4 linked regions of the Struthio camelus genome follow. The protein of the gene in region 1 purifies or fractionates together with the protein of each later gene. This does not show direct contact. Links are inferred from orthologs where the notes say so. Each region holds a gene or a part of one and is shown in the gene's direction. Other genes may lie near its edges.

Region 1 (7,605 bases):
AGCTCTTTGCTTGCCCAACCATTTATCTCCGAGCAGCAATGAAATATTTTCAAACCTAGCTGCCCAAAGTCAGACACCTAAATCCATGCTGACACACATAAATAAAGCTGATGATCATCAGAACTGAGGAGCAGCAAAAATGTCTACAAATCAGTAGTGTATGTTGACTCACAGGCATGCTGTTAAGTCACATTGGCTCAAGAAGAATTGAGGCACAGGCTAAAAGCTAAGCTTGTAAGAAGTTCCTTTGATGAATTGGATCCTTAAAGCTATAGCTTGAGAATTTCTGAAACTCAAGTTGCTTTTATTTGTTTCTGCAGTAGACTTGCTACCCTGTCATTCAGGCAGATGGTATACACGCATACATAATGTATCTATATCACAGGACAGCAAATTATGAACCTAGGTCTTCAGATTTCTCAAAACAGTGATCTCTTGAACAATAAATTTACTAGCTTTTAACAGAAGTTAATTTAGCTAATCTAGGATTAGGGTAATAAACCTAATAACTGTGCTAAATGATACGTTTAAAAATACCCTAATTGTTAATCTAAGAAAATGACAAAATATGATTCCATTTTGTCCTAAAATTCTGACTATTTTAGCTTGGATAGCAGTAACAGTTACATAGAGAGGAATATCGCTATTGAAAGTACACTTTGAGCACTTACAACTGTGGAATCAAAAGTTCACCATTACACTTGCAAATAATAAAAAGTTTATGATTTTATAACTCTTACTGAAGAAGATACTCAGTAAGTGCTCATCTACTCAGTAAGTCCTCAGGCAGAATATAACTTTTAAGCAAACTAGAATATTCAATGTAGCATAGTGTATTTGCACAGATAATCACCCAAGACTTTTTCTGGTCTACAAAACTGGGTGCTGGCTTACTTACGATAAGCTGTAGAGTACTATAACATGTTAGCTCATGCTTGGTGGCAACAGGTTTGTTTTCCAAGATTGTGTAATCCAAATTCCTTTTCTAAGAGATGATTCTGAAAAGCACTTTTAAATAAAATAATTAATGAGAACGCAAAATACTACAGAAGTAAACTTTTTCTCACTTGTGGTAAGCTTCAACCATTAGAAGTACCGATTTATAAAGAACAAATATGATTTTAGAAGTGGGAATTTCTGCTACTGCGGAGTAAGTTTTTGCTTACATTACAATGAGGTCAGTGTACCCAGCTGTAGCACATGACAGAGATTTTAGGAACACAGTTAGGGTCACATTTACAATACAAATTGGGGATGTGTTGCAACTACATTCTTTGATTTGATTGTAATGTAGATGACTGTAAGGCTAATTAAACATCATCTACTGTTCACAGAAGAAACCACCAGTTGTTGCTTAAGCACCGTTTAAAGACAGTTTTATTCAAAACAGGTTATGACATGGTTTTACCAACCAACAAGGACCGAGATTTTTCCATGCTATAACAAGACTCTAGAACTGCAGTAGCCTAGGTTTAAACATACTCAAAATATGCTTAATACAGGTCTTACTAGCAAGGTCCCAAGATACTTCAAAATTTACTGCATGTCTTCAGACAACACATTAAAAATCTGCTATATTTTCACCCAGATAAAGTCAGTACTCCTCTACTAATGTTAATCATTTGATCAACCTGAATGGTGTTGGGCTTTTATTTTCATAAAGTTTTTAAGACAATATTCAGGCTTGTCTAATCCATGATTTGGGAAAAAATCTTCAAATAACATCTAGCTCCTATGCAATGCTTTCATCTTTAAATCAAAAAGTATCTTATTAAGATCACTATCATTATCTCAGTTTTCAGAGAAGAAAACTAAGGCACAGAGATGCGCTGCTACTTGCCCAAGATATACCAAAGACCAGTAGCTAAGGCAACTGAGGTACAGTCCTATGTCAATCATTTAATTCTGATCTATGCTACTGTTCCATTGAGCATCTTAATGTAATAATCCTGATGGAGTTGCAGAAGCAACTAATATAAAAATTCATTCATACCAGAGCAGAGGGAATATTTTAGAGTTAAATTCCACAAATCATTATAGCAACTCATTAAAGTCTCTAAATAGTATTTAGAATTGCCACTTTTCAGCAAAAAAAAAAAGCTATACTATGACTCCCTAGTGGAACAGAAAGATAATGCATAAATCCAACCAATATATTACTGAAAGAACATTGAAGTTTTCCTGACAAATTTGAAGGGGCACAGAGGTTTGGAATCAGACCAATACTTTGGATCATTTTAACACCACATTTTTGAAATAGCCATAGGAACCTCTAATCCAACTTTAGTATGTTCTAAAATCACACCTCAAGAACCAGGTAGAAACTCTTGGCTTTAATCTCAGGGTGCTATAATCCTAGCAGCTCTCTGGGGAACAAAGATATATGTAAAGGTTCAAGGTTTCAACAGTCTCAGAAAGCGGAAGTACCACCAACACAGCCAATTTCTTCATGGAAGACACTGCAGTAACTGGCTATGATCTCTGTGAAGCTCTGTACTTCTAAAGCATCTACTACTACAATTTCTAAGAGTCTAATACGGATATTATTCGTTGCACTAAGGAATCTCATGAATAAGTAATTGTCTTCACTGTTCCTAACTTCACAAGCGTTCCTTGTTTGGATTGGTTTGAAATATATTTCATTTTGCAGATTTTGTTAAGCTTACTTTTTTGCAAAAGCTCTTGCTGACAAGTAATCGGTTTTTATTTCTTCTAGGGACAGTGCTGCGGGTAACAAATATATAGATTCTCCCCTCTAAAAACTTTATCTGTCAGCATGTTTATGCTTCTTCTTGCAACATTTTTTCATCTGCAGTTAAGGTCATTGAAGAAGTTTTCCTCAAACGCAGAGACCCCTAGGAAAGTAAAAGTGCCAGCTGCAAACCAGGGATTCAGCTGAAAGACTTAGGTTACCAACACACCACATTGAAGCATTTATGTGAAAGTCAATCTTCACTGTGCTAAAAAGCAAATCCTTACACCTCCCCCAGCGTCGACAGAATTTGACAGAAACCTAAAAACTTAAACCTTAGTTTAAAATGCATCTTACCCTCTCGTGTATCTTTGCACTCGCTATACGGAAATTGTTTTTTTGGGGGGGGTGGGGGGAGGGGACAAAGTTGGACTGTATAAACTCAGGGCACAGGAGCTGTGTGCTCTGTTTTATCATCTCATTCTGACCCCTTTATGTCACTTTCATATTGTGATTAAAAGCTCTGATCTATACGTGGGCAAGTATAATTCAAGTTAAAATCTTAAATGCTGTCACTTCTTAATGCCTCAGTGTAGCCATATGTAAAATGGGGATAATTACTTACTTCATTAAGGTGTGGTGTTTGTAAAATGTTTGAGTCTCGGATGAAAAGGACTTTCCTTGCAAAATGTAATTATAATAATATTATGCCAGAGGTAAGGCATAGGCCTGTGATTCCACATACAGTATTTAAATACAATTACTTATCTATCAAAATCAGGAATCTGCGCTACTTTTCCCTCTCTCAGCACCTGATCTTCTTACCATTATTAATCTGAGTAATCCTCACGGACTCCAATGCATCTGCTCACATAGTCCTTCAATAAGGTGTACAAGCGTACACTCAAAAACTAGTATCACGTCTCAATTATCACTATTTTTCTTGATTTTCCCCTGTTTGTAATATTCTTTAAGTTCTGGTCTCATAGTTTTAGAGGGATACCTCCCCTTGACTTTTCTGCAGGTGCCCACTGGCATCAGAAGCACTTGCACATGCTTTTTAGAATGTGCATAGTTTTAAATAAACTTAGTCTAGGGCAAAAATAGTTTCACAAATCAGCTATCAGCTGCAACACTGAAGAATAAGTACAAATCATTTCTAAGACTCGCATGCCCACTGGTCTCATCTGATCCATTTATCTTCTCTAGGTAGTCCCGGCCTTCCTGATGGTTCTCCCTATTTCCCGCAGCACCGCGTGCCCCATGCCCCTTCTCTTTCTCTCAGTCCTCAGAAGGGCCTTTCCGTATCTGCCAAGCACCATATGTCCTGGAAATTTCGTATAGTTGCCAACCACCACCTTTCAAAGCAACTTCAGGTTTTCTCCTGCTTGTTCTCCAGCAAGGCACCTGCAATGCTACAACTGCAGCATCCGGGTGTTGGTCCTGCACGCCTCCCACAGCAGCCCACCACGCAGCTGGACGAGGAGGGATGTCCACCTTTTAAGGAACGAGGATGACGCCACGAGCGAGAGGCCAAAGCAGCTGAAATGCCAAAAGCAGCAGAAAAGGGGGCTGAAGAAAGGGATGGCAGGAGCAGAAAAGATTGTTCTGATGCAGGCCCGAGAGAGATGAATTCTGGGGGGGCAAGAGGGAGGTAGTGGGGAGGTGGGTTGGCACCCGGCCAGCAGGGGCCAGCTGGGGGGGGGGCAGCAGGAGCCGCGAGCCCCTCTCTCCTCTACACCCCCCGCATTTCTGGGGGGTTCCCCCTGCCTCGGGCTACTCCCGCGCCTCCCTCCCCGCCTCGCCTGGCCCCCCACGGACCCGCCCGAGGCCGGGCCGGGCCGGGCCGACGGGCGCCCCGGGGGCGGGGAAGGGGAGGGCTGGCGGGCGGCTTCCCACCAGCGGGAAGGGAAGGGGACGGGACGGGACGGGAAGACTCTCCGGATCTGCCCCAAACTTGGCAGCTCTGCCCTCCTTGTGAGAGTTGCACCAGGCACCCGCCCGGATTGGCAGGAGCCTGTGCCCTCCTCTTCCTCCCTCTTTCTCCCTCCTCCTTTGGGTGGGTTTCATCCCTCCTCTTTCGCGAGCGGGGCGGCGGAGGGGGGAGTTAGTAAAAGAAGGGGGGGGGGGTGAAAAAAAAAAAAAGAAAAGAAAGAAAGAAGAAGAAATCCCAAGTCAGGTCCCCGACGTCTCCGGGCCGGCGGCCGCAGCGGCCGCCCCACATTCCTGGCATTCCTGGGCCGTGACTCCCCGCGCCGCCCCGGCCCCGGCCCCGCCGCCGCCGCCGGCCCCTCGGGACACCAGTCCCCTCCCTCCCTCCTGCCCGCACCCGCGGGCGGCAGCAGGAGCCCAGGGCGCCCGGCCCCCCCCGCCGGCGGCCCCAGCCCCCGGCCGGCCGCCCGCCCGCCGAAACTCCCCGCCGTGGCCGGGCCGGGCGGCGGCAGCGGCTCCCGCCAGCGGCACCGGCACCGGCACCGGCCCGCCGCGCTCCTCCGCCTCGGTGCCGTCGGCGGCCGCCTCCCGGGCCGAGAGCCGCCTCCGGCGGGCCCGCGCGGAGCCGGGGCCGGGGTCGGGGCCGGCCGCGCTCCCCCGGCCCGGCGGCCGCGCAGCAGGTAAGGAGCGGCGGCCGCCGCGGAGTTTGCTCGAGTCTGCCCGGCCCGTCCCCGTGTCGGACGTGTCCCGGCTGCTGCCGGCGACCGCGGGCTCGCGCTGACTTCGGAGCCGTCTCAGTAATGTCTTTTACGGTGTGTGTGCGGGTGTGCATGTGTGCGAGACAGGGAGGGAGGGAGGGAGAGGCGATATTTGCTTAAGGCTTGCTGTGCCTTATAGTGTGCAATTATAGCTCGGCGACGTATACATGACTGTTTGCAAAGTATGAGAATAGCTAAGCTTGGGTTATGCCTACCAATCGATGGCTTGTGATAAACACGGTTTGAACAGCCCTTCCAGTTTATAAATTTAACCAGATAGGCTCCTAGATAACAGAGCATCTCCATAACCAGTAGGTGTTTGTAAATAGGCAGGAGCAGCCTGGGCTGTCGGCTGAGCTGCCCTTATTTACACTGCGGCGTGACTGTGTTTAGCTTTCCGCTCCCCCCTCGGATTTACCTTGTTCTTTGTTAGTTACAGTGAAGCCTGCCCTGGCCGTTTGTCTCCAGCAAACACTGTAACACCGAGTTACACCGAAGGAACTGCACCAAGGCCGGGAATAATGACATCTGCTCTCGTTTCTGATGTGGGCAAAGTCAATGAATTTTTAACATCCCAAACTGACTCTCTTTCCGGGAGTGTATTTGGTACTACAAGTATTACATAATGTATGTGTGGCATATGTGTATGATGTGTGCTGGAGCTTTCCTGTCGGGAGCACTTTATCTGTGATTTGCATGAAATAATCTTATGTTTCCATTAGAAGCTCTCTGTAACTTCTGACAAGGTGGAAACGAGCGGTGACTGGTAAAGGCTCTGATTGAATACATTGTTGTCCAAAAAGTTTTCTGAGATTTTTAGTATGTGGCCTGAAACAGTAGTTGAAAGAACTATTTTTACCAGAAACCATTTTTTTTCTTTAAAGTCTGTGTAGATATTTGCTGTTAGTTTTTTTTTTTAAACTAAAAACACTGTTATATGCTGAAATTATTTAGAGTTTGTAAAATCTATGTATAAAATGGCTCCCCCAAATCAGAGGTCAAAGCCACCTGCCAACCTCGGGACTATGGGAGAAGTTGGTAAGGACAGCTCTTTTGGGGGAGAAATGTGAAGGGCGGCAACCCCAGTGGGGGCTAGTGTCTAGTTATCTAGCTGCGAATGTCCTATCAAATATGAGTGACAAAATACAGATTACACAGCTTTTGCTCTTGCCCTCTGGGGGGTCTGTAGCTGACATCTAGTACTTGTTACATGGTGTAAAATAAAGCATGCGTTGATGTTATAGTTATGCAAATAAGCTTTAGGCCCTGATCTATTATTGGCAGTGCTTTCTTGAACTTCTCTTGGTTTCTTCAGAGAGGCTGTGCCAGAGGTGCTTACAGGCAGAGGGCACTTGTGTGTATCTAATGGGACATGATACAAAAGTTGGGGATTTTTTCAAACTTCTTGTTTGAAGCTGGGTCCATCAGCCGGAGGGTAGTCCGCTAAGTCTGTGGGAGAGCTTGCAGCCATCAGTTCTGCTGTGGTATTTGTGTGGGAAAAGCTTTAAAGTGCCATTGACTCCAAGCGATCTCGGAGGATCTAGTAGTGCAGATCAAGGCCTGCGTAAAGACTGCATGCAGCGTTGATCAAATCAGGATCTGCTGGGACTGAGCAAACTGAGCTTGTGTATGTACGTTATACTACAATTTTAGATGTGTCTTTTAAATGTTTTTGTAATTGTAGCAGAATTAGCTTTGGTGCAGTGTTGTTTATGAGGATCACTAGCAGCCAACGTTGTTACTATTAATGACTGATGAAGTACTTCTTTACCGGTCGTTCTTGTCCAGCAGATGCCTGGGCGTCAGTTATCATAGTTTAGGTATGGAGCAGTTTTCTATGAAACAAATCTGCTTGTGTGTACTTTTGCAAATTGTCTAGGCTGCCAGTGGCAAGTACAATCCTGGAGAAAGTACTCAATCTAAAAAGAGTTTCCTTCGTGCTTTTCAAAACTATACTATTTCCTTTTTCTATGTTTTTCTGGTGCCACGACAGTCAAAGGGGTGTAGAAGACCACTCTTTGTTCTATTTCTCCTCATATCCAGTGAGGCTGCATTAGATTACACGCTACTTAAGTGAAGTATATTGTTTTAATTTGGGTTTAAAGTTAACATTCATATAACATACGCGATGTGAAAAGTGCACTTGAAGTACAACTCCTGCGTTGGAAGCAAGTGCTTGTTTGTTGCAAGGTTTAGTTAGCTGAGGGTTTTTTATAAACTGCT
Region 2 (7,378 bases), on another chromosome or scaffold:
TACTCTGGAAAGTCTTTGTAGGACTACCTATTTTAGCTGCAAGCTGTCCAATTGAATATCAGTAGAAAGAACAGGCTTTGGAGTAAAGAGAAAAGCTGAATGAGCATAAACATTATCAAAGCTGTTCTCTGGCCCCATTGCTTCTCCAAAGCTTCATCATAATTTCAGCCAGAAACAATATTATTCAAAGATCCTTTACTCTCGGATGTATACATGCATCAGAAGCTGACACTACTGAAAGTAGCACTCCTCCTCCTTTCCTCCCTACTCCAAGTACACTGTTTTTCTTTACAGGATTTTTTCAACCTTTTTTAAAAACAAAAAATCTGGCAGAGAGGAGTTCAAATGTTTGATTTTGAAGACATGGCTGTCTTAGATAAAATTCACTCTTTTAAAATGAATAAACAAGTATTTATAGTGTAGAAAACACTGAGTTTTTTAGAGTTCTACAGTAACTACATGGTGTTTGAGGTGTCTAAAAAAATAACAAAATAACCAATATACATCTTCAAACATTTTGTCAGACGTTTTTAGAGATACATTTCTATCGGGATATTTCATAACTCGTTCTCCACTCCACTTAAATTCTGTTTGAAAGCAGTGGAGAGGGACTATGTGGATTTTCAGGGAGACCACTTTGACTCTTGATTCAGAGCCATTTGTTGATATTACAAGTTACAGCAGTTGTAACTGCTGTAAATTTCTTCAGGGACATCACTCCATTGGATCATCAAGTTAAGGGAGCCTCTTGTTATGGCAGGAAAAGATACAAACTTTTTTTTTTTTTTTTGTAACCGCAGTCAGTCCCACGAACAGATCTACTGTGAAACAAGAGGTAAGCAGGGAGCGTCAGGAGATTAACTACACTAACACAGGCTGGAGCAGAGCACGCTTCCAGTTATATGACAGGGCCACAACCATTTGGCTTTGCAGTCTCCCCTTTCTGAATTCAGCAACTTCCATACTTGTGTTCAGAATTTTCACAGACACTTTTTTCCTCCTTCTAGCTCATAACAGCAAGTTGAAAGGACACTAAACATTTATGATTCTAATTCCCATTTAATTCAGTCCTTTAACTAGATACTATTTGTAACATGAACTTCTTCAAACCTGCTAAACATGCATATATAGAGCAAAACAGAAGAACAATTGGCTCCCTTTTATTGAGAATATCATTGTTATTTATCATACTTACTGGTAAGTCCTAGGTAAGGCTTGAGTCAAGCCATAGCTAGATCGTTCCGTATTTTAGACAACTCCTTCATATGCATCCTTCCGCATTTCAAATAAGCATGCATACATCTTTTGAACTATACCGTCTTACGCAATTAAGCCAAACAATCTGTGGTATGCTGTCAATGTCAGCTAGGCAGGTTATTAGTTGAGATGTAGGAGGTATACTTGCAAAGCGACTTTTAGCTAGCATTCATGGTGTATTTTAAGCCGAAAAGGATGATTATGAACATCTGCTCTGCCTTCCTGTATTAGACATATCAAAGAATAGTAAAGGATAGTGGAAGAAATTATTTCCTACTTGTCCAAATTGCAAAAGAGAAAAAAAGGTGATGATTAGATTGTTATCTGGAATAATAACTGTCCTTTAGAAGCTAAAGGTTCTCATTAGTAATATTAAGTGTCCAACATCTCATTTACACATATATTACCTACTTTGTCAGTCTGACTTCAAATATTGGCATTCCTAAGTAGTCCTAAATGGGCATTCTGGACTGTAGACTCTTAACTGTAAACACAAATACAATGAGGTATTCAAACAACAGTAAAAAGTGTATGTGGCAGGGGAGGAGGGAGGGTGGGAAGAAAACCTAACACATACCATAGAACAATTTATATTGAAGTGTAAGCGCACTGGTTTATACACAGACACAAGCGTACACATAGAAATTAGGCAATGATGCAATGATCTTAGTATATTTATTTCAAAAAAATAAAAACTGACATTCCTATCTCCTTGTGCAAATGAAAACTGTGATATTTTCTGACAAGAAGTTTTACCTAGAAAGATGGTTATAAATCAGATGGACGTAGATCTTATCTGACCAATAAACCAAGATGTGGCTCTCTCAGCTACGGTGTGTCATAGGACAGAAATTAGGTATTGCCTCAGGAGTCATAATTAACTTCAGGGGAAATAATGATGTAAATGAGGTTTCAGTTTTGGCTTGGTACTGTAGATTTTTCTTAGCACATGCTTTCTGTCGTGTGGATTGTTTAAAGTAGGAGTATACTGGTGCTGCAGAACAAGCCTGCTTTTTAGAATTAAGAAAGACTACATCATTATAAAAACTACTTGTTAGTGCTGAAGATAAGAAACTGGCAGCTAGTTTCCAAAGACAAGAACATCCTCTATAATTTTTTCAACTTATCTAACCTGAAATCTTAGTCTTATGGATAAAGCAAACTGAGCTTTAAAAGGGAAAAGCGTATCCAGCTTATGTTGTCCCATACTTGCAAATGTGCTTTGTCACTTTGTCACTGGAGGATGTCACCTATAAAACAAGATAATAAAATTAGAGTAGACTACTGAAAAAGACACAAATACAAGTGAATGGCGAAAGTGCTTCTTCACACCAAAGGATAACAAGACTGGACTTTATAAACAAATTAGCTCACTGAAACTTAATACTCAGTGAAAATAAAGAGTTTGTTGCTTTAACAGGCCCTGATCCTGTTGCTTTCTGTAAGTGGGTGAATCCTTACGGAGATCCACTCCGGTTAGGATGGCTCAGGTTTTCTGCACTGTTAACCAGCAGGGTCTTACTTCACGTCTATAGTTTCACTGCAGGTTACCTTACAACAATAGATGTGAAAATAAAATCTTTAAGATAGTTTGGAGCTCAACACACAGGTGTTTTTGGGAGCCATAGAAGCCATTTGGAGAGACAGAAAAGCAGATTAGTAAAACAGAATAAAATAATTGGAATGACTAAAATAAGAAAGGTCTTAACTTTCCCAGATTGGTAATTAGCTAAATTAAAGTGATTTCTTGTTGTTATTTTTTTTTCTATTTAGGAGCAGATCCAGGAGTAATGGGACTTCAATATCTGCAGTTACTTCAGGGCTTAATAACTTTCAGGTATTTGGCCTCTGAAGTAGAATCCAAAACCCTGTTGTGCACTGCACAAGTCCAGTACTTAAGAGCTGTAAATTGTCTCAGGAAAACAATTCAAAAATCTGAATGCTAAAGATAGCTATAGCAGAACAGTTAAACAGATTGAAGGAAAAAAAAAAAAAAGGAAAAAGGGGACAGCTTTGAGTCGCAGACCTCTTCTCCCAGGGTAATTTTGTTATTATTTTAATCCAGTAACTGTTAAATGAAAAGAAATAAGACATTTTAGGAAACAGGGAATAAAACCTGGGTTACCTAAGAGTCCTAGCTGCTAAACTAGACTCATATTCCACCATGGGTGCTCTACTTCTGGTGCCAGATCTTGGGAATCAGATACACATGCAAATTAATAGAGCTCATTAAGTTACCGTATATCAGCTGAACCATGGTAACCAGCCACAAGTGCTCTTCTCCTGTGGCACATGTGAGAGGAACGTGCAGTAATTCACACCCAGTTTCTATACTTAATGCAACTTAGGTGCTGGCTGTTTGGGCCAGAGTGGTTCTGGGCACAAACAAGAGTATATGTGTATTTCTCACTGGTGTTTCTGCTTTAACAAAAAAAAAAAAAAAAAAACCACCTAGTAAGTTTAAGTGCTTCCAGGGTTAAGGGAGAGAGGCTACCTTTTCTTTTAAATTTTGAACTTAGATATTGTAAATGTCAAGGTCCTTTTTATGAATGTTACCCTTGAGCTAGCTTATTGACGTTTACAAGTCACTGAAGCGACTATGCAAGGATGCGAGGCAAGGTTTGTGAAAAGTCGTATCTTCTCCTAGATCTGAATGGAAGGGAAAGAAAAGTCTTTCGGGAACGCCCCGACCCAAGGCACTAGGATAACGGCAGAAGGGTCTGTAGCGGCGAGTGTTTCGTATTGCGAACGCGCTCAGCGCTCCTGCCCTCCGGGGCCAGCAAACGCCTCAGCTAAAGCCGCCGGCGCAACCTGATGCGAGACGGGGGCTGCCGGGCCCCGAACAAAGGCACCCGCCGCCCTCCCGGCGTCTTTACCGCCGCGGCACCGGCACACGAGCCCGCGTGCTCGGCCCCCTCGGCCGGGCCGCACGCAACAGCTTTGCCGACATGACCGGATTGCTTAAGCGCCCCGCAGCCCAGCCCAGCCCAGCCCAGCCCAGCCGAACGGGCGCGGGCCGTTAGCGGCCGTTGGCGGCGCGGCCCACGAGGCCGTTGTCCGCCCCAGCGGCGGCCGCCGCGCCCCCCTCAGGTGGTCACTGCCCCTCTTTTTGCTGTCCGAGCCGCTGCCGGGGGCGGGGGGGACAAGGCCAGCTCCCGGCCCTTCCCGCTCGGAAGGCGGAGGAGAGCGGGCTGGTTTGGTAGCGGGGCGGGGGGGAAGCTCCCTGCCGCCGGTCCGGCGCGCTCCCCCTCCTGCCCGGGGCCCGGCGGCGGCGGCAGGGTTAACCCTGAGGAATGCGGCGGGAGGAATGTGCATGCAGATGAGATGGATGCTAATCTCATGCTAATGAGCGGCGGCCGCGGCCGCCCGGGGCTCAGCCGGGCTCCCCGCGCCCAGACAGCAGCTGGGCTCCGCCGGCAGCCCTGACCCGGCGGCCCCGACATGGTGGACTGAAGCCCGGCCGCCGAGCGGGCTTTGCCGAGCTGCTGCGAGAGGCTTCGCTGCGCCCCCTCCTTCTCTCCTCCCCCCCCGCCCCCGGCTCGGCCTAGGCTGCCGACCCCCTCGCCGCCCCCCCCCCTCCCCGGCCCGGGCGGGGGCCTTTCCCGCTTCCCGTCTTTCTTTCTGTCCCTATGGAGCAGCTACCCCCGCCGCCCGACCATGCCTAGGAAAGCGGGGAATGGGCAGCTCCCCTTACCCGATGGCTGGGAGGAGGCGAGGGATTACGACGGCAAAGTCTTCTACATCGACCACAACACCAAGCAGACGAGCTGGATCGACCCCCGGGACAGGTGGGTGCGCGGGGCCGGCGGGGCAGGGCCGAGCCGGGCCGGGCAGGGCCGGGCAGGCCGGGGGGTGGGCGCGGGGCGGCGCCGCGGCCGGGCGGCCGTTACCTCGGCGCGGAGGTAACGCGGGCGCGGGGGCCTTGGGCGAGGCTGGCGGCGGCGGGGTGGGGGCCGGGACAAAAGCTCGCGGGGGCGCTGGCGGCGGCCCGAGCGCCCCGCAGGTACCGAGGTTGGCGGGCGCGGAGCGGAGCGGGGCGCGGGCGCTTCCGCGGCTGCCGGCGGGACGGTGCGGGGCGGCGCGGCGCAGCCGAGGCGGCAGGAGGCCGCGTGTGCCGGCTAGGCCTCGGCACGTCCCAGCCCTCTCAGCCCCGGGTGTTTACAGCCTTCGCCAGCAAAACTTCGTGCTGCTCTGAGATCCTGTTGTGGGAAAACGCTACGGCCGAGTTAGCAAAAACTTTTAAGAGACGTGATAAACTTATAGAACAAGCTATGCTGAGCTATGAATGAAGGCCTTGGTTCGTATTCCTCCGCAGAAACGAGAAAAGGTAGTTGTGATGAAGCTTGCTGACTCCAAAACTTTCCCTATGCAACTTAGACCAACAGCATACGCTGTATCAGGCCTACTTCTCTGTCACGCTTATTGTAGCAGCCAGTTCGGATAATACTGGTAAACATATTACTTAACATATTTTAAAATACAAAGGAATTTAAACAACTTGTAAATATTAGTGGTGGTAATGGACAGAGGTACTTGAGTGTGTGTATAAATGTTACCTGTGACAATAAAAAGTCCTATTTTTTTTGCTGCCTCTAAAGTAGCATATTGAAAATCTTGTCTAATTTTAGACATCTCTTAATTTGTGTATAAAGCAGATTACAGAAGGTATAAAATTGAGGCAAAGCAAAAAGTGAAAATTACAAGCTACCCATTATAACACAGCCTCATGAGCACATTCATTTTGAATACTTTTTTGTGTTCTGTAACACTGAAATGTTCAAGAGTGTTTTTTGTTTTGTAGTAAAATTTGGGTCTACTCTCATTAGTAGACTAGACAGCTAAGTGAATAACAATTGTATGTTTGTCATCCTAGAAGGATAAGATAAATATTGTTTCATTAATGTCTTGATTACACTTGAAAGAGAAGGCAAGCCCTGAGACTTGATTGTCTTTAATGAGGACTAAGGAACTGAAGACCTTTTTCGAAAAGTGTAGTGTTTGAAATAATTGTTAACCCTTGTCAGTAGGGTTTCTTAATGCTACAAAACAAACGGGAGAGATTTTGCACTCCCTGCTTGAGAGAAGCCCTAATTTATTATACATGGCTCAACTGTGGAGCAGAATTGCCTTCGCAGAAGGCAGACTGACAAGCCCGTTTAGGGTACAGTTTACAGTAGTTGTATTTGCAGTCTGTATTTATATCAATGGCCTGATTTGGGAAAGTGTATAAAACTGTTTGAAAGTTCTGCGATGACCTTGCTCTAGGTCCCATTGTGTTTTCCAGGTATGTAGAGAATATATGTTCTGATCACTGAAGAGTGATCTTCCAAGTCAGTCAGTGCAATAAAATCTGGATTCATGCTGTTTCTGAAACTTACCTTAAGCTGTCAAAATGAAGATAACAGATTCTACAGAAAGACTTGGGAACACCTTATCCAGGTTGATAATATGTTCTAACTTCATTATTTTCAACTTTTTTCTCTGATGGAAGTCATAAAGTTTTCGTAACATACACATGCAGTATTATGGTTCATAAGCTTCTGAAATCTTTCTTTGGTAAAGCAAGTGTGGAATACATATGTTTTTATGGACAATTTTCCTTCTTCTTACACACCAGTCTCAGAACGATTATGTAGAAAATTCACACTTTGAGTTTAAATTTTTTTTTAATCCTCTTTGATTTAGTAGATATACAAGTCATCTAGTGGAGATTAGTGCCATGTGATGTCAGCCTCATGCCTGTGGGTGCCCAGGTGTGTTTGAGCACAATTTGAACCTCTTTGTTATTGATTAAGAAGTTCATGTGTAGAAATACACCGACAGCTGAAAATGCCATATTTCAAAGCTTCCCAGAAACGTGTGTGAATTGCTTTTTAACGTATGTGCTTTTCTAGAATATTCTGATAATATGTGTGTTTGTTACTGCTTATATGGGGTAGGTTTGGTAGTTCCCTATGTACAGCTGTGAAGAAAATCTAGCATCGGCTGCAAGTTTAGGGCTCAATTTTGCCAACTTCATTTATCAGAGTAATCCCATTGATGTTAGAGAAGTTCACACTTGCCTTGGCTTGTGTGTTTTAGGAGTGCTGTGGAAATTATTTGTGCTGCTCCGTTCTTAAGG
Region 3 (7,787 bases), on another chromosome or scaffold:
ATTTACAGCCTCATAACTTACAGAGGAAATCAGGTTGTCAGATATGTTGGTACAATGCACAGCTAAGTCTGAGTTGGTAGCAACTTACTGTTTTACTTTTCAGCAATGAAGTGCATCTGGTTTTGCACAAAAGTTCTTTTCCCATTTATCTTCAGCTAGTCAATATTAAATAAGAGTTGTTGTCAATGTCTGAAAATAAACATAGCCATTTAAGTTTCAAAAACTCCTTTTTTACAGCAATTATTATCTTGGTTATGAGCCAGTGCTTCGTGTTTCCGAATTCTCCATTCTGAGCTTTTATTAAAATAGTGCAACTAAGAAGATGTCCTGTACAGAGCCCCTAAGAAATCCAAGTAAAAAGTAAGTACTTTCCTCTCCCCCCTGACAGGACTGTAACAATTATTGGATTGTCATATGAAAATTATAGTACTTTCATTCGTAGGATCTTGTTTTGATGATTTCTTAAGGAGAAACATTTTGATACTGAAACAGGCTGAAGCAGCTTCTCACAAAAGCTCATATCAACACCATCAAATTTACACATAAAGGAAAGAAATAGCTCTTAAACTTTTCATTAAGGTAATCAGCACTAGGTTAAAAGTGGTTCTCCACAGATAAAACCCCTCATAAAAATTCCTTAATGCTTCTGAAACTATGTAAATGCATTTGTAAGGTCTATGACAAATTATCTCCCTATATGTATATGGATGGTAACTACAGTAATCTAACATGCAGTAAGGATTTATGTATTATAATGCATTATTTTTTCAAAATGATATGTCTGCGTGTCTGTAATGTTTTATATCCAGTGCTTTGGAACCATCTAATTTTTTGTCACTCTCATGGGAAATACAATGATTATGTTATTAATTTTATAAACTATAATGTTATCCACTTTGATTTAGGAAAAAGTTAGCTTAGATGCTAAATGTCAAACTCAAATTCAGTCGCAACTGAAAATCTTAACTGCAGACTCTCCCCGTACTGCTAAATAACCATGCCAACCTTGTCAGGAAAAATCATAACTTAAAACAGACATAGACAGCTTATGCTGGACTGTTTCATGTTTGCTGTGCTTATGCAGTAGGTCCAACAAACCTCAACAAATCAAACATACTGCCAAGCCATTTAGCACCAATTCTGAGTTATGCCATTTCAAAGATAAGTTGATTTTTAAAAAAGCAAAACATTTTTTAAAAAGCTAATTTCCTTTTCACTGGGATCTGAAGAGGCAAACGCTATGCTTGTCAGAGGGAAATACAGAATATGTAATACAAAGATATATGTCTTCAAAACAGTTATATTTTGCTTGGTTCACTTAGAAGATATATTGCATAGTTACTAGATCACTCCAAAAACCAATTTTTCAAATAAAAGATTAACCTGAATAGCATGCACATAGCTTCACACGTCAGCTTCATGATGATGCAAGACTACCATTTTATGTATTTAATATGTATTATTTTTCTTCTGAGAGACAAGGTATCAACGTACAACACTTCAAGAATGTACTTAGATGTTAATTGAGCTTTACCTAAACTTTAAATAACGTATTTTTCTCCATACGAGGGAGTAGCCCCAAACCATTCGTATTTCTCCACAATTACAATGTGGCTCATGCCTTTTTTCTTGCATGTTTAACATTTTGCCATATAATGGCATATGTTTTCTTTTAATCTTTATAATAACCTAGTCAGCAAAATGCATTTTGAATAATTAGTGGGTTTGGATAGAGTGGAAGGAAGTGTTTGTTGATACTATATAATAAAGTGTACATTTAACTATCATCCTTAACGTCTTAATGAATATTCACCCTTTAAGGTCTGTGAACCTGGAAGGCTTCAGTTACATAACAAACTTCTATAGGATTTTTACAAAAGCCTTTATTATTTATAATGAAAAGATCTTGTGAGTCTTGCTACCAAGGTTTATAGGATAATTCAGCAGACTACAGATTGGGCAAATCTTTCTATCTTGTTTGCTAAACCATTATAAAATGTCTTTGGGGAAAAATGAGTCGTCATAATGCTGCTAGAAGACAATAACTTACTAGCTCTGAAAAAATCTTAGTCTGCTTGCCTCACAAGATAGCAGAAAATGTCTCTTGAAAATTTGATTTTGCTTACTGATATTACATTTTATGCATTTTAAAGTGTATTGTTAGCTGTATTGTTCGATCTTTGTAATTGATGTTCACAAAGCATGCTTTTTAAAGGCAGAGAAGAGTCAAGAAAAGCAATAATATCAATTTTCTATATGACTCCATTAGAAACACTAAAAGTAGCAGTAGAATTTTATGATAAAGGGGGATAGAAACTTAGAGGGTGAGTTCAGGAAGCTGAACAATGCATAGTGTTACTTTGGAGGAGCAGTTTTTTGAAGGAGTGATGTACTGATGATAAAAGAACTCTAATGAGAGGAGGTGGGAGTAATGAAAAATTTACACTACTTTGTGTCTACTTTCATTGTCAGCAATTCTTTGTCATGCCTGGTTTATTTTTAAAAAGCATGTTACCTTTTTAATAATTGAAATACATAGCTATGAGTCACATTTTTTCACTGATTTTCTATATGTGTGTTTCTGTTGTGTAGAATGTGAAACTAGAAACGAGGAAAGCCATATTGGTCAAAGTGATTTTTGACAAAACTTCCTGCCACTGATACCACAAATTGAACTCTACTGATATTAAGAACAGTGAAAAATTTTTTTTATAGAAAGAGTATTGGGATCTTATTCACCATCTTACATAACTTGCTTAGAGCATATCTCATTGATACCGTGCTTAAAATATCAATGGCTTTTCTTTTCTTGAGCTCAAATATTAGTAACACTAGCAGAGTTTAATTGATTTAGATAAGAATATATAGGGCCAAATTTTCCCTCGCTAAATGTATGTGAGCAATCCACGTGACTCCAGTGGAGCTTTTCACATTGTGGGAAGTGCAAGGCTGGTTTATGTTTCCACTTCCGTCATTGATCTGCTCCATAATCTGTAGGAGGTCGCTTTACCTTTCTGTCTGTCTCTGCATTTAGCTTGCAGGCTTTTCTTGCTCTTGGGACTGACCTCAGTATATGTGGACAATATGTAGCACATTGCTTGTAATCAAAAAGATCAAAAATCCTTTCTCCAAAACAATTATGTATTAATCAAACCATAAACACTGCAACTTTAAAAAAAAAGTTGAGATGAGCATGTGCATTGATAGCACAACCAAGATTTCCTGCTGTGCAGCTCCAGGCACTAACTGATGCCGTCTCATCACGAGGTTGCTTTCTGCTTTGGAGAGGTTTCATCTTTCTGTTTAAACAAAGCCCATAGCGAATACAGCACACGCAGTTGGCGTTTCAAACAGAAATCTTTTAAAGATCATTTAGAGAGAGGAAGGGTAATAGGAGTGCGTGTGCTTATTCTGCAGATTGGTGAAAAAAATCTTGTAAACAACTGTGGAAGAAAATAGTTACTCAAACTGACATCGGAAGCTCAGAACTTCTAAAATAATAGGTGTGTATCTCTCCAGAGATCAAGCCTCAGGTCAGCAGAGAGTCTTACCTCTGTGGGAGTAGTTGTGTATGTTTCCTTTTTCAACTAAATTATAGTCAACATAACAGAAGAAATTCTTTCCTCTAGGTATTTTGCTGATACCCCATTGGATTGCCTGAAATAAGCAGGCCCTGCAAAGCTACCTTGTTTTTTTGGTAGCTTTGACAAAGTATCTCTGGAAGCAGGCATTGACACGTGGAGGATAATTTAGGAGAACAGTTTAGGTTGCTGAATGCTGAGAGTGGATATTCTAAATCAGCAAATTAAAAATTAATTTTTTTTTTTTTAAAAGAAGCCTTACTAGGTTAGATTAGAAAGGAACAAAGCAATGACAGATCCCATTGAGCAAAATCTAAAATATGACTTATAAAGTCCTTCCTTTTTTTTTTTATTTTCCTAAAGTCCACCTTTATCTACTTTTCACCTACTTGTACTATAAAACACATCAAGATATACTATAAAAATGGGATCATATTTCTTGCACCATTTTTATTGTTTGCCTTTACAAAAACAAATGTATGTCAACTTCTATTTCTACAGATAATATACCAAGTTCTATGTTAAGTTTTGACTGTTGTATATTAAAACAGTACAACCGTATTAAAACATCATGTAAGTCAGTAACATGTTTGAGAATGCAGAGTATTAGCACAATGGCATTTGTTTCATTATTGCTTTCAGTCTGTCGGCTTTGTTGGCTTTCCCTTTTGTGTGTGGATGTATATAATCCAATTTATTGGGAAGATTGCTTTAGAAAGATCATGAGGTATTGCTTTTGACCCTGTTTGGAGGGAACAATCAATAATTATTTTGTTTCATTTGACTGCTGCTAGATATAGCTTGCATAACCACACTTGTCATCAATGCAAGTGAAGTTTATTTCTTTTGAGTTTATCGTCAGTCTTAAAAGTTGCTACAAATTGCCATTTAAAAAAGAGAAAAAGTAAGCATTGCCTTGATAGGTGAATTAGTCCCTGTGACGCAGAGGGTTTCAGAGGAGATTAAGGAGGCAGAGACACTCGTCTCAGGCTGTTTGATTTTCTGCTACTAACTAAAAAAAAAAAAAAAAAGAAAGAAATTGTTCTGTGTGTATCATTTGTGCTGCTGAATTGAAAACCTCCAGTTTTGGATCATTTTGGATACTTTGTCATTGTCTTTTCTGCTGTACTGAAGAATGTCCTTACTCTCACCAGGAGATGAAGATGAACCAGAGCGTTTTGATGGTCTCTCTCTCTTATACTGGTATGCTGAGCCATTAGGTTCTGATGAGATTTCCTTGGTCTGTAATTTGGGAAAGTACAGTAAAGATATTTTAAAAGCTGTAGCCATTTACAGATTATGTTTTATTTTTGTAAGCAACCAGGGTTTATCATTTATACTGTTGTAGAAGTGTCAAATCATATGGATTTTGCGATGGAAGGCTGTTTTTCTTCCACTGATAAAGGCAGCTAAGTATTTCATTTGTGGACTAGTGCCTGGTAATTTTTGAGGGATATAGATCAATAGAGTATCCGGAGCCTCATGTTCTGATAAGTCTCTAGAAGGTGTATAATAGAAAGCTGCTGAACTTACTTTTTTCTATTACTTTTTTTTTTAAACATGTAAGTACCAAAGATTTCATTTTAACTGGCTTTACTAGAGCCTCTACGTAAAAATATGAATACTTGGTCTATTAACATTCCAGGGCTTCAGCTGAAGTGTTAAGTTTAATATTTGTTTGAATAATTTCAGTGTAATAAAGCTATAGCACACATTTTGTGTAATCTTGTTTCTTTTTATCTCTTTTCTCACTCCTTTTTTTTTCTGTGTGCTAAAAGTTAGTTGACAAGTATTTTTGTATGACTTCTGTAGGAATGAATGAATTGATTGTTTACATCTTTTTCTACAAAGAACACTAAAATTATTTTTGCTATCACTGCCAATTAGTTTAGATGCCCGTTTCCTTCTATATATTGTTGAGTATGTTTCTAATGTTTGGGGGAAGTATCTAACAATTCATGTTATGATTATTCAATAATCGTGAATTATATGCTGAATGGGAGCTAAATCCAAGTCCTTGTGTAGTGAAAGTCCTTGTGTAACTGTTAAAGCACTGTTTATTTTAGTACAACGATGACAGGTAACATGTCTTGAGGATCTGTCTCTATGTCATTTGAGAGAACACTGAAAGTCAGCAAGATGTAATATCCTAAATTAGTTTAGGCATTTGAAAGTACTTGTCTTTAGTTTTTATGTTAGGAAATAATTTTAAGCCTCATACATTAGGGGGACTTAGTCTTTAGAGCATAAACACTATTGTATACCTTGTAACAGAGTCTGTTCAAAGTGTCAGTCCTATCTAATGTTAATTGTAGATGGCAACATCATGATGATTTCCCTGTTTTGAAGATACCTTTTTCTTCTCCATTATACATTATTAGTTCATCCTGTCTTTGTGTATGCTCTGTATGACTTTGTCAGTATGGATTTTAAGTAAGTTAGGGTCTCTCTTGTGACGGTATTGACTGTTTGCTTCTAGAAACATAGATTCTTTCTTACTGTAAGTGTTCTGTACCCATGTTTGATTGTATTTTATCATCATTTTACATGGTAAGAGATAAATAGGTTCTACTGTTTCTTATGAACTCTGTATTTATTTGAAATACTGGAGACTTAAAATCTGAGATTTGATCTTTTAAAATTTCATGAAAGTAAACTTCCTTGCAAAGCTGAAATACAAAGTTTGTTCTTGCTTTTCTTTTATTCACTAATTTTAAAAAGTTAAGGTAATCCTATTAATATTAATATTCAATATTTCTTTTTAATTCTGATGTTGATAAACTAAGATTTTTCTGTTCAGATAACTGCTGTTCAGTAGTACTACCCTTCAGCCTTCACTAATATTAGCATCAAAAGATCAGGAGAAAGTAAAGATGTTCTTGATGGACTAGTATAGTCATAATAGTTACTTGAGGAAAATCCAGTTAAGTTGAGAACCCTACTGTTATTGAAAGGTTGACATATCAAAAAGTAAGTAACAGTTGTTTGTGATACTGACACTTGCAATGCATAAAGAAATGTCTGCCACATGAAAGCTGCTGAGAGCATGGCAGAACATAAAACAGAACAATAGTAGCAAAAGGCAAGGTGGGAAAAAGTAGAAAGAATAATTATCTGCTTGTTTTAAAGATCAATGCTCTTTATCTTCTCAGTTTTCAAAGGTGGTTACAGAACAAGGACAGACCTGTAATGGTGATTAGTATATTGTTTGTCGTCTTCAAAACAATTTAGAATCATGGAATAATTTAGGTGACAGTACTAGGTAGTAATGCAAAATAGTATGCTGCTGTAGTGTACAAGTAATTTATCAAAAGTTTTATGTTAGAAAACATTGTTTTTTGTTTTATTTCTTTTAGAGTGTGATTAAGTAAATCACTTTGGTTCACTTTGCACCTTACAAGGGGAGTCTTATGCTGTGTCATGCAGTAGCAAGGTCATTTGCAATCTTAGCAGTGTCAAAATATGGTTCAAATTAGGTTTCATCATTTCTTTTTTAGCCTATAGAACAAATACTGAGAGAAATACTGCAGTGAAAAGTCTACAACATTTGAAGCAGGGGCTTCCTTTTTGTTTTTAAAGATGGATTATTAGGTCCATTCTTTTGGCTGGCTTTCCTAAAATAAAAGCTGAATTTTGCAAATCCCTGGAATTTGAGGTTGTGGAACAAATAGGTGGGTGGGTTGTTTGTTTGTTTGTTTGTTTGTTTTTCCCCCCAGAGCAAATGCAAGGATCCCTTGATAAAGTTTTCATCTGATTTTGTTATACAAAAAAGGAGGAATGTGGAAAGTTCTGTAGGCATTGCATCTCTTGCCTGGTGCTGGAATTTAGGAACATTTGGACCTTCTGGATTTCTCTTTCCTTTGTCCTGATAAGGACATTACTGCAGCTTTTATAGAAATAACCAGTTGCAGGCTTGGAGTTCAAGCTGTGTGCTGGATTTGGTTGTGTGAAAGGATTTAGGTCACTGTGTCCTCCACTTTGATCTTCTCTTTTTTTTTCCCCCCGTTAATGAAATCTGATTGTACCATTTCACTTCCTCATACTCTAGAAAATGCAGGTCACCAGCTAATACAGAACAAGACGTAGGTCGCAGCAGAAAAATTTTAGCAGTGTTTCTGGTTTTTTGTACAACGGGTCTAGTGCAAAAGCTGAACTGTGGAAAGACAGAGGATATATGATATAATTTGGATTTTTTGTAATAACTCA
Region 4 (8,080 bases), on another chromosome or scaffold:
CTCCAGGGTCCTTGCTGCCCCCTGGGTTGCCTGCCACGGGGTGGTTGTTGCCTGGCTGCGTGGATGGCCCAGTGCTGGTGACAGGGTGGGAGTTGCAGGCCTAGCCCTCTGCTCCTGGGGTGGGGGCCACCCTCCTGCCTGGTGTGGTGTGGCTCTGCCTGACCTTGCTCCTCCCATTGCAGATGAACGGGGCTGTGCCTTCTGCGGTGGCCTGGGCCATCGCATCACTGACTGCCCCAAGCTGGAGGCGATGCAGACGAAGCAAGTCAGCAACATCGGCCGCAAAGACTACCTGGCTCACAGCTCCATGGACTTCTAGCCTGGGGATGCTGCTGCCCAGTGCTGCCTCCACCGAGGCTGGGAGAGAGGGCCGAGCTTTGACTCTCTTTGGGCAAACAGCGCTGTCCCCCCTGCAGCTGCCCTCATTTCCCAAAGCCCAGACCAGCCCGGACTGCAGGCCTGTCCTGCACCGCTGTGGCTCCTTTTCAAAGCATTTGGGCACTGGGGACTGTTGCCCGCTCAGCCTGCTGAAGCTCCTGCTCTAGGAGGAAATGTGAGGAGCTGTGCTGCAACAGCCCATTACATCAGCGGCATGTTGATGTGAAGCATTGGGCAAGCGGGTAGTGGTGCCTGTGGGGTGGCTGCTCTGTGGCCAGCTGTCTGCAGCCCCTACTCAGCTTCCCCGTGGTGGCATGGCTGGGGTCTGGCATTGCTCTCCTCCAAAGCCCCTGGATTCCTCTGGGACTGTTCCCCCGCAGCTCGTGTTGTGCACTCTCAGCTGGTGGCTGCCTCCTTTCTGCTGTGCTCTGACCAGGGCAGTTTCTGTTACCCGCAACTGTGCCCTGATGCAGCCAGGGCAGGGCAGAGCATGCTGTGCTCATGTCAGGCAGGCCCCTAGGAGCTTCCTTTGCTCTTGCTGCATGTGTTCTGCCCCACTGCCCTCCTGTGAGGGGGAGGGAGGATGGACACCTCCTGTGGCCCAGCCTGCCCCTCATCCCACACAGCAAAAAGGGGAAGTCGCTGAGAAAAGGAAGTCTGCCCCATTTAGTTGCTTCAGCTGCAGCAGTCACACTTCTCTGCTGCTGATGGTCTGAGTCCCAGATCCTTGCACTGGCTGCCAGGGCAGTGCTGTGCCCATGGAGAGACCTGTGAAGGATGGGATCCTCTATGTGCAACACAGCAAATTTGGAAAGGTAAAAGGTGGAGGGTGGGTTTGGGGTGGGTTGTAGAGCTCTGTCTTGCCCTGTTCTGCCTTGATGCTAGACCCTGGGGGAGGCCCTGACCGGATGGGGAATACTGGGTCCTCCACAGCTTCGGCAGGGGAACGACAGAGCCAGACCCCTTGGGTAGGGCAGAGAGGGCCCTGGCCTCTGTAGCTGTAACGGAGTGGGGCAAGGTGGCTCTCCCCACAGCTGAGGGGACTCCCCCGAGCAGGCCTCTGCTCACACTGACCCCCATGTACAGGGTCTGTCCCCTTGCCTGATCGCCACGCGATTCGCGATGAAACAATAAACGTGTGTTAATGACGCATAGCTCCGGTGCTTGTGTGCAAGTGGGGCAGCAGGGGTGGGAGCCCCTTGCAGCTCCTGGGGGTGGTGGGACCACACATAGGAAGTTGCTGTGCGCCAAGCCTTCGAAGAGCCTGACCGTGGGGGGCAGTGCTGTGGGAAAAGCCAGCCGCAGGGCTGGACTCGCTGCCCAGCTGCTCGGTGTGCTGAGCCCTTGGGGATGGGCACTGAGTGCCAAAACCCTCTGGGCACGTTATGGGTTATGTTACTGGAGTCCTGGTAGGAGCTGTGAGATGGTGCTTACAAGGCAGGTCCCACCACTTCGCTGACCGTGCCCAGCAGCATCCCCGCTGCTTCAGCGGGGTGGCTCTGCCCCTTCCTAGAGCCCGTGGGGTGCAGTCAACCCTCCGTGTGCTCAGTGGACGTGCTGGGCCACGGCTGTGCCTTCGATACTCTCACGGAGCTGCTCTAGTCTCCCTGCCTGCGAGAGCTGAGTCCTAGAGCTGAAGTGGGCAGACCCCTATGTGAGCAGAGGCCGATGCCCTGCCATGTAGGACGCAGGTGGGCTTACGGTGGCGGGTATTTTGGGTGCTCGGCTGCGCGTAGGTTCACTGGGGTGGAGGCCATGTTGTGCTCTTGAGGTGTGTGGGGGGGAAGCGCCCTCTCTATCCCATGACAGGCTGGGAAGGTGCTGGTACCACAGAGCGTCCCCTGGGAGGAAGCGGGTTGCTAGCTGCAGGGACTAACTGTACTTGGTAGGTGTGAGCTGCCTGCAGGAGCCCAAGCAGCTCAAAATGGCTTTAATTTGCATCATGGTCTGTCCTGAAAACAGCTCAAGAGGCTCAGCTGCAGCAGCAGCAGGCTAGCACTTGCAGCAGGGAGCAGAGGGCAGGATGCCTGGGTTCCCTTCCCAGCCGAGGGCGAGCGTGACTCACCAGGCGAGCGGAGCCGACCTCGCTGGAGGGCCAGGCTGGCCACCTCGCTGACCTGGCGGCTGGCAGCCCTGGCTTTGGGGCTGGCCTGGCCTGCGGGTGCTGGGGGACCTGAGAAGGCCCTGCTTGCTGTGTCCTCCCCCAGCACGCGCAGTGTGCCCAGCCCCGCCAGGGGTGCGGGAAGGGCATTGCGTGTGCCCGGCGTGCCCTGTCCTGCCAAGCATGGGCTGGAGCCCTTACTGTGCTGGCTGACGCGATAAGGAGGGCAGTGCCGGTGAAGATGCAGCAGGCAGTTGTTTGCTGACCTTTTGTTCCCCTTGTCTGTGCCCTTCCTGCACCCCAGAGGTTCTGGAGGAAGATGCGAGCGCAGCTCTTTGCTGCCAGCCCGTCCGGCGTGGCCCGGATGGAGAAGTTTGATGTGCGGGATGACGGCACGGTGCTGGAGAAGTCCTCCCTGCGGAGGTGCGCCCGCCGGGTGATCCGCCTCTCGGACTGCGTCTCCGTGGGGCCCGTCAGCACTGACAGCTGCCCCAAAGCCACCGCTGCCTTCTACCTCAACACCACGGAGAAGAGCTATGTGCTGGCGGCCGAGCAGCGGGACGAGTGGATCTCTCAGCTCTGCCAGCTGGCTTTCCAGGTACCGCGTCTTTGGGGTGAGCGGGGCCACGAGCAGTGGGGTGGGCAGGCTGCACAGCTGGGACCCCCCTCACCCTGCTCCTGGTTTGGGTGAGCCAGGGGGGCTCCCTCCCTTGGTCCCTGGCCATCACCTTGGGGTGGAGGGTGTTGCTGGGGCATGGGGCCAGGATGCAGCAGGAGAAGGGATGAGTCCCCTTGGGGGGACTAGTCGGGGGTGGTTTTGAAGGCAGGCCCCTACTGGGAGAGTTTCCACTGCACGTGTGCAGCAGGGAGAGGTGCTACAGCCCTGCTTGCAGGCCCTCGCGCTGCCCCATCTCTGCCCGCGCCTTGTGCCACCGCGGCATGTTCGGAGCAGCCCCAGGGCCGAGCTGCAGGACGAGGGTGCCCGGGGCGGGGGCCGCTCTCACATCCCTCTGTTTCAGGGTGCAAAGGAGGTGCCACAGAGCAGCGCCAGGACCCAGCCCGGCTCCGACGTCCACATGGAGGAGAACTCCCTCTACTCCTCGTGGCAGGACCGTACGTGCCATGGGCTGGGTGGCGGAGGGGGCTGGGGCGGGCAGCAGCTCAGCGTGGCAGGGCTGATCCCGGTGCCGTTCTGCTCCCGCAGTGACAGAGTTCCTGGTGCTGGTGCTCAGGACGGACGCAGCCGCCCGCTGCGGCCTGCACGGGCACTACCTGCTCGCAGCTCTCCCCCAGAGCCTGACGCTGAAGGACCCGCAGTCCCGCCAGCCCCTGCTCACCTGGCCCTACTCCTTCCTCCGCAAGTTTGGCCAGGACCAGGTAGGTGGTGCCCCGCTCCCTGACTTCCCTAGGGCAGGTGAGGTGGGCGCCAGCCCCTCACCCTGCCCTCCGACCTCGCAGACAGTCTTCTCCTTCGAGGCCGGCCGCCGCAGCGACTCTGGCGAGGGCACCTTCACCTTCAGCACCCCGCGGGCCCCGGAGCTCTGCCGGGCCGTGGCCACCGCCATCGCCTGCCAGCAGCAGGACAAGGATGCCCCGGAGACCCGGATCCCCATCCCGGGCACCGAGCCCCAGCCCCGGGGACCCGCCTCTGAGGAACCGCAGCCTGGGCCAGCCGCAGGGAGGGTGCAGCCCAGCTCCCAGCCCAGTTCCCAGCCTGCCCTGGGCCTCCTCCGCTTCCCAACCTCGGAGCCCGATGGCACCGGCCCCATCATCTACGCCTCCATCGCCCGGGGCCAGCAGCCCCTCTTCGGGCTGGGGCAGCCTGGCCCCAGCGAGCCCTGGGCCGCGGGGAAGCCGGCCGCCGAGCACCTCTATGAGAACATCTTTGCGGCGCAGCTGGGGCGCACAGAGGAGGAGGAGGAGGAGCACGAGGAAGGGCAGTGGGAGCTGGGGTGCCGGCAGGCCCCCGAGGGCCACAGCGGCGAGGCAGGCCCCATCTACGACAACCGGGAGGCGGTGGCGGCGGCGTGGGGCGGCCCGCAGCCCCCCGGCCCCCCGGAGCAGCGCTGGGGTCCGGCGGGGCGCTGTGCCCACGAGGAGCCCCCGGGGCGCCCCGGGCCCAAGCCGCAGGGCAACCTCAAGGCCAAGCTCGTCCGGCTGCTGAGCAGGGAGGCTCCTGCCGCCGGGCAGCGGGACTGGCTGTGAGCCGGGCCGGCCGGGCCTTGGCGATACGGTGAATAAAGAGGCTGCGCTCGAGCCGGCTCCGTCCTTGCTCGCGGGTGGGAGGGGGCGCCCGCGCTGCGCCTGCGGCGCCCGCATCTCGCCGTCAGGGGGCGCCGTCGTGCGCGCCCCGGCGCGGCGGGCGGTCGGCGAGCTGATTGGCCGAGCCGGCCGCCGGCACCGCCCACCCCACCCCCGGCCGTACTTAAAGGCGGGCCGGGCCGGGCGGGGGCGGTGCCCCGAGTTCGAGTCCCGCGTCCGGCTGCTCCGCTCCGCTCCGCTCCGCTCCGCTCCGCTCGGTCCGTTCGGCCCCGCTCCGCTCCGCCGGGGCGGCCCGGCGCGGCCCGGCCGCAGGTGAGCGCGGGGCGGGACCGGGGCTGCCAGGGGGCCCGGGCCTGGGCGCGGGGGCGGCTCATCCGGCTGGGGGCCCGCATGGGGCCGGGTAGGGGCCTGTGTGCGAGGAAGGCAGGCAGAGTGCTCCGGCAGGGCCCGTGTGGGGCAGCGCTGGGGCTCGGGGCCCGCCCCGACGGGGTGCCGCGGGTTTGGAGGGGGGGCCCGAGCTGTGGGAAAGGGGGCCAGTCCGGCCTGCGCAGGGGGCTGTGTGGGGCGGGGAGGGGGGCCCCGGGTCGGGGTCAGGGAGGCTGGCTGGCCCCGTCTGGACAAGGGGCCCGTGTGGGGCAGGGCTGGGGAACGGGGGGGGGGGGTCGTGTGGGGCAGGGGTAGAGAGCAGGGGGGCCCGTATAGGGCAGGGTAGGGGGGCAGGGGTAGGGAGTGGGGGGGGCCTGTGTGGGGCAGGGCTGGGGGCCCAGCCTGGCTGCCCATCAGGAGTGGGTGCCCCAGGGCCACCCAGGTGCCTTGCGCCAGCCCCATGGGACGTGGCCGTAACCCCTCGCGGAGGGGCTGTGTGGGCCCACCCCATCCCTCCAGATCACTTCTCTGCCCCCCACCAGCACCCTGCCCCAGGGCTGCCGGAGACCCCTGGCTGCTGGGGCCCCCCCAGCCCTGACCTGGGCGTGTGGGGCGCTGCCGGCCGCCTTGGGGCAGACCGCCACGGTCCCGGCCCCGAAGGACACCGCGCCTTGCCCCGGTTTGTGCGGCTGCTCGGTGCTGGGGAATGTCTGACACGCAGCCTTCACCCAGCCTTCCCGAGCGGGGAGCACGCTGGTGTCATCTTACAAGCCTTATATAGCCCGCCCGGGCTTGGGGAGAGCGGGGGCTCGCCGGCCCCCGGCCCTTGCGCCTCCACTGCCTCCCGGCTAGGAGCCCGAGGTCCCCGGCCCTCGGGGCGCTGGGTTTGTCCCTTCCTTGCGGGGGCAGGAGGCAGGGTCTCGAAGGGGCCCCTCAAGATCTGGGAGGGCTCCTCTTGGCTGAGATGCGGCTGGGAGGCTGGGGCCGGCCCGTGTGCCCCCCGTGCCTTGGCCGGCTGACAGCTGTCAGCGCCGTCCCGGCTGGCGCGCAGGGAGAGGCAGGGATTCCCTCCTCGCTGAAGCCCCGGCTCTGCGCGCAGAGATGGGCTCGCCTCCCAGGTAGCATCTGTTTGGCCAGCTGCTGCAGCACGAGCCTGGCTGCGCTGCCAGTCCGCTTGGTTGGCATCGCGCAGCTACTGTGCCGCTGCTAATTCACCCAGCGAAAACGCCTCTGGTCTCCATCCTTCCACACCCGCTGTTGCTTCTCCGTGGTCTGAAACAGTTTTGGCTCTCAGTAGCGTGAGCTTCCAGGGCGCTGTTGTGCGTACTGCAAGGGAGAGCGTGCCCCAGGTTTGGGGCAGGGAGAGCAGAGCCCGTGAGTGCACTGAGCGTGGCAGTCAGCTGTGTCTGGCTCTTTTGTGCTAGTCAGCATTAGCCTGGGCTCCTCAGCCCTAGGAGATGCTGATGGATTTGGGGTGCGTCTCTAACTGCAGTGTGGGATAGTCGGGGTGGAGCCGGTCCTGGAAGCGTGACCTGTCTCCTCCTGCCCCATCCTGCCAGGTGCTGGGGCCCCGCTCGGCTGCTCTCCCTGCGTTGTTCCCGTGCAGCGTAACACCGGGATCGCACCCTCTTCCTTTGCAGAGATGGGCGATGTGGAGTCCTACAAGGTGATCCTGGATGGCCCCGCGCCCTGGGGGTTCAGACTGCAGGGAGGGAAGGATTTCAGCATGCCGCTCTCCATCTCCAGGGTAAGAGAAGCTGAGCCTCGGTAACGCCCATCCTGTTCCTACCTCTGCGGGTAGGAAACTGTGGCTGCTGGGACCAGGTGACTGAGGCGGCAGCTGTATGGGGACGTGGATGAGGTGGGACCCTTGGAGTGCTGGGTCCTGCTGTGGTCTCGCTCCGCTTAGCCTCTACTGCACCACCCCGTTGCCTTATCGGCCCTCGTCTGGCAGGGGACGTGCGTGCCGGGGGTGTTCCGGGCAAGAAGAGCAGCAGAAATTTGAAGTACTGCAAAGCCTCTGCAGAGTCATTCTGGCTGCTGGGGGAGGTAGGGGAGGCCTCTTCCGGAGCCTGTCCGGCAGCTGGGGGAGGGGAGCCGCTCTTCTAGCCTCCGCGCCGTGGGGCTGGCCTCCTGGTCCGGACTGTGACGCTGGGCCTGGCCTCCTGGGGTCTGGGCTCGTGCAGCGGGCTCAGCCCTTCTGTCCTCCCTCCTGCTGCTCGGCTTCCAGCTCCAGCCCGCGTCCGAGCTCCCTCTGGCCCTGGAACGGGCAGAGAGGGGAGGAAGCCCACGCTGCTGCCGGCGCTGGGACGGTGGCCCCCGGCCCGTTTCCCCAGCGCCGAACGTGTGCGTGTGAGAGGCTTTGTGCTGCTGGCTGCTCGCAGCCGAGGCTCTTCGCGCGAGCCGCCCCTGGTGCGACGCTCGCCTGGACCAGGTGTGGTCCCTGTCCCCTTGCACGGGCGCTAGCGGGTGGCTCTGGCCGCGCAATTGCCTTATAAGCCTTGGAATGCGTCTGTCGTCCGCGCTGCTGACGCTCCGGCAGCTGGCACGGGAGGCCGCGTCTCGAGCGAAGGCTTTGCTCGCGGGCGCCGAGCGCTGCCTGGGGGCCTGCTCCGTAGCACGAGCCAGGCTCTCCGCGGCTGTCCCGGTGGGCGCGGGTCCCTGCAGCGCCCCGGCAAGGAGCGCAAACCCTGGGGGCACCGTGCGAGGCTGGAGCCACCGGTGCCGTCCCCCCGAGGCCTGCCGATCTTTGCCGAGCTGAGGGCTCCGCGCTGAGACGGCTTCAGCGAGTTTATTCTCTAAAAAATGTTTCTCTTGGCTGCGAGCCAGCGCCTAACAAAGGGTCTGATCAGATGGAGGAGCCTCCGAGGGCCTGGGGCAGGGGCCTTGTGCAGCGACGGCCTGATGTGCGTGCAGGCCAGTGCTGTTGTGAGGGCTTGGGAAACGCTGCCTTCCCGGGCAGGGCAAGGCAGA

What was found.
Region 2: the proteins of PTPN14 (region 1) and WWC2 purify together in Homo sapiens (affinity purification with mass spectrometry, with the first as the bait; 3 studies listed by BioGRID). This does not show direct contact. The link is inferred for Struthio camelus from reciprocal best matches to the Homo sapiens genes PTPN14 and WWC2.
Region 3: the proteins of PTPN14 (region 1) and STXBP4 purify together in Homo sapiens (affinity purification with mass spectrometry; 3 studies listed by BioGRID and IntAct, counting the BioPlex papers as one, with this or other methods). This does not show direct contact. The link is inferred for Struthio camelus from reciprocal best matches to the Homo sapiens genes PTPN14 and STXBP4.
Region 4: the proteins of PTPN14 (region 1) and PDLIM7 purify together in Homo sapiens (affinity purification with mass spectrometry; 3 studies listed by BioGRID and IntAct, counting the BioPlex papers as one, with this or other methods). This does not show direct contact. The link is inferred for Struthio camelus from reciprocal best matches to the Homo sapiens genes PTPN14 and PDLIM7.

The regions. Positions count from the first base shown.
Region 1 is NC_090944.1:115,141,635-115,149,239, reverse strand, and holds the start of PTPN14 (tyrosine-protein phosphatase non-receptor type 14), read left to right. Parts: upstream 1-4,569; 5' UTR 4,570-4,751; intron 4,752-5,268; exon of another isoform or gene 5,269-5,304; intron 5,305-6,789; exon of another isoform or gene 6,790-7,009; intron 7,010-7,605. UniProt on the Homo sapiens protein: Protein tyrosine phosphatase which may play a role in the regulation of lymphangiogenesis, cell-cell adhesion, cell-matrix adhesion, cell migration, cell growth and also regulates TGF-beta gene expression, thereby modulating epithelial-mesenchymal transition.
Region 2 is NC_090945.1:50,518,094-50,525,471, forward strand, and holds the start of WWC2 (protein WWC2), read left to right. Parts: upstream 1-4,341; 5' UTR 4,342-4,914; coding exon 4,915-5,045; exon of another isoform or gene 5,046-5,066; intron 5,067-7,378. UniProt on the Homo sapiens protein: Regulator of the Hippo signaling pathway, also known as the Salvador-Warts-Hippo (SWH) pathway.
Region 3 is NC_090960.1:6,090,932-6,098,718, reverse strand, and holds the start of STXBP4 (syntaxin-binding protein 4), read left to right. Parts: upstream 1-4,716; coding exon 4,717-4,784; intron 4,785-7,787. UniProt on the Homo sapiens protein: Plays a role in the translocation of transport vesicles from the cytoplasm to the plasma membrane. Inhibits the translocation of SLC2A4 from intracellular vesicles to the plasma membrane by STX4A binding and preventing the interaction between STX4A and VAMP2.
Region 4 is NC_090954.1:9,774,471-9,782,550, reverse strand, and holds the start of PDLIM7 (PDZ and LIM domain protein 7), read left to right. Parts: upstream 1-4,935; 5' UTR 4,936-5,053; intron 5,054-6,666; exon of another isoform or gene 6,667-6,747; 5' UTR 6,748-6,749; coding exon 6,750-6,854; intron 6,855-8,080. Other genes in the region: probable ATP-dependent RNA helicase DDX41, read left to right, coding at 183-319; DOK3 (docking protein 3), read left to right, coding at 1,137-1,193, 2,784-3,077, 3,499-3,592, 3,684-3,856, 3,938-4,684. UniProt on the Homo sapiens protein: May function as a scaffold on which the coordinated assembly of proteins can occur. May play a role as an adapter that, via its PDZ domain, localizes LIM-binding proteins to actin filaments of both skeletal muscle and nonmuscle tissues.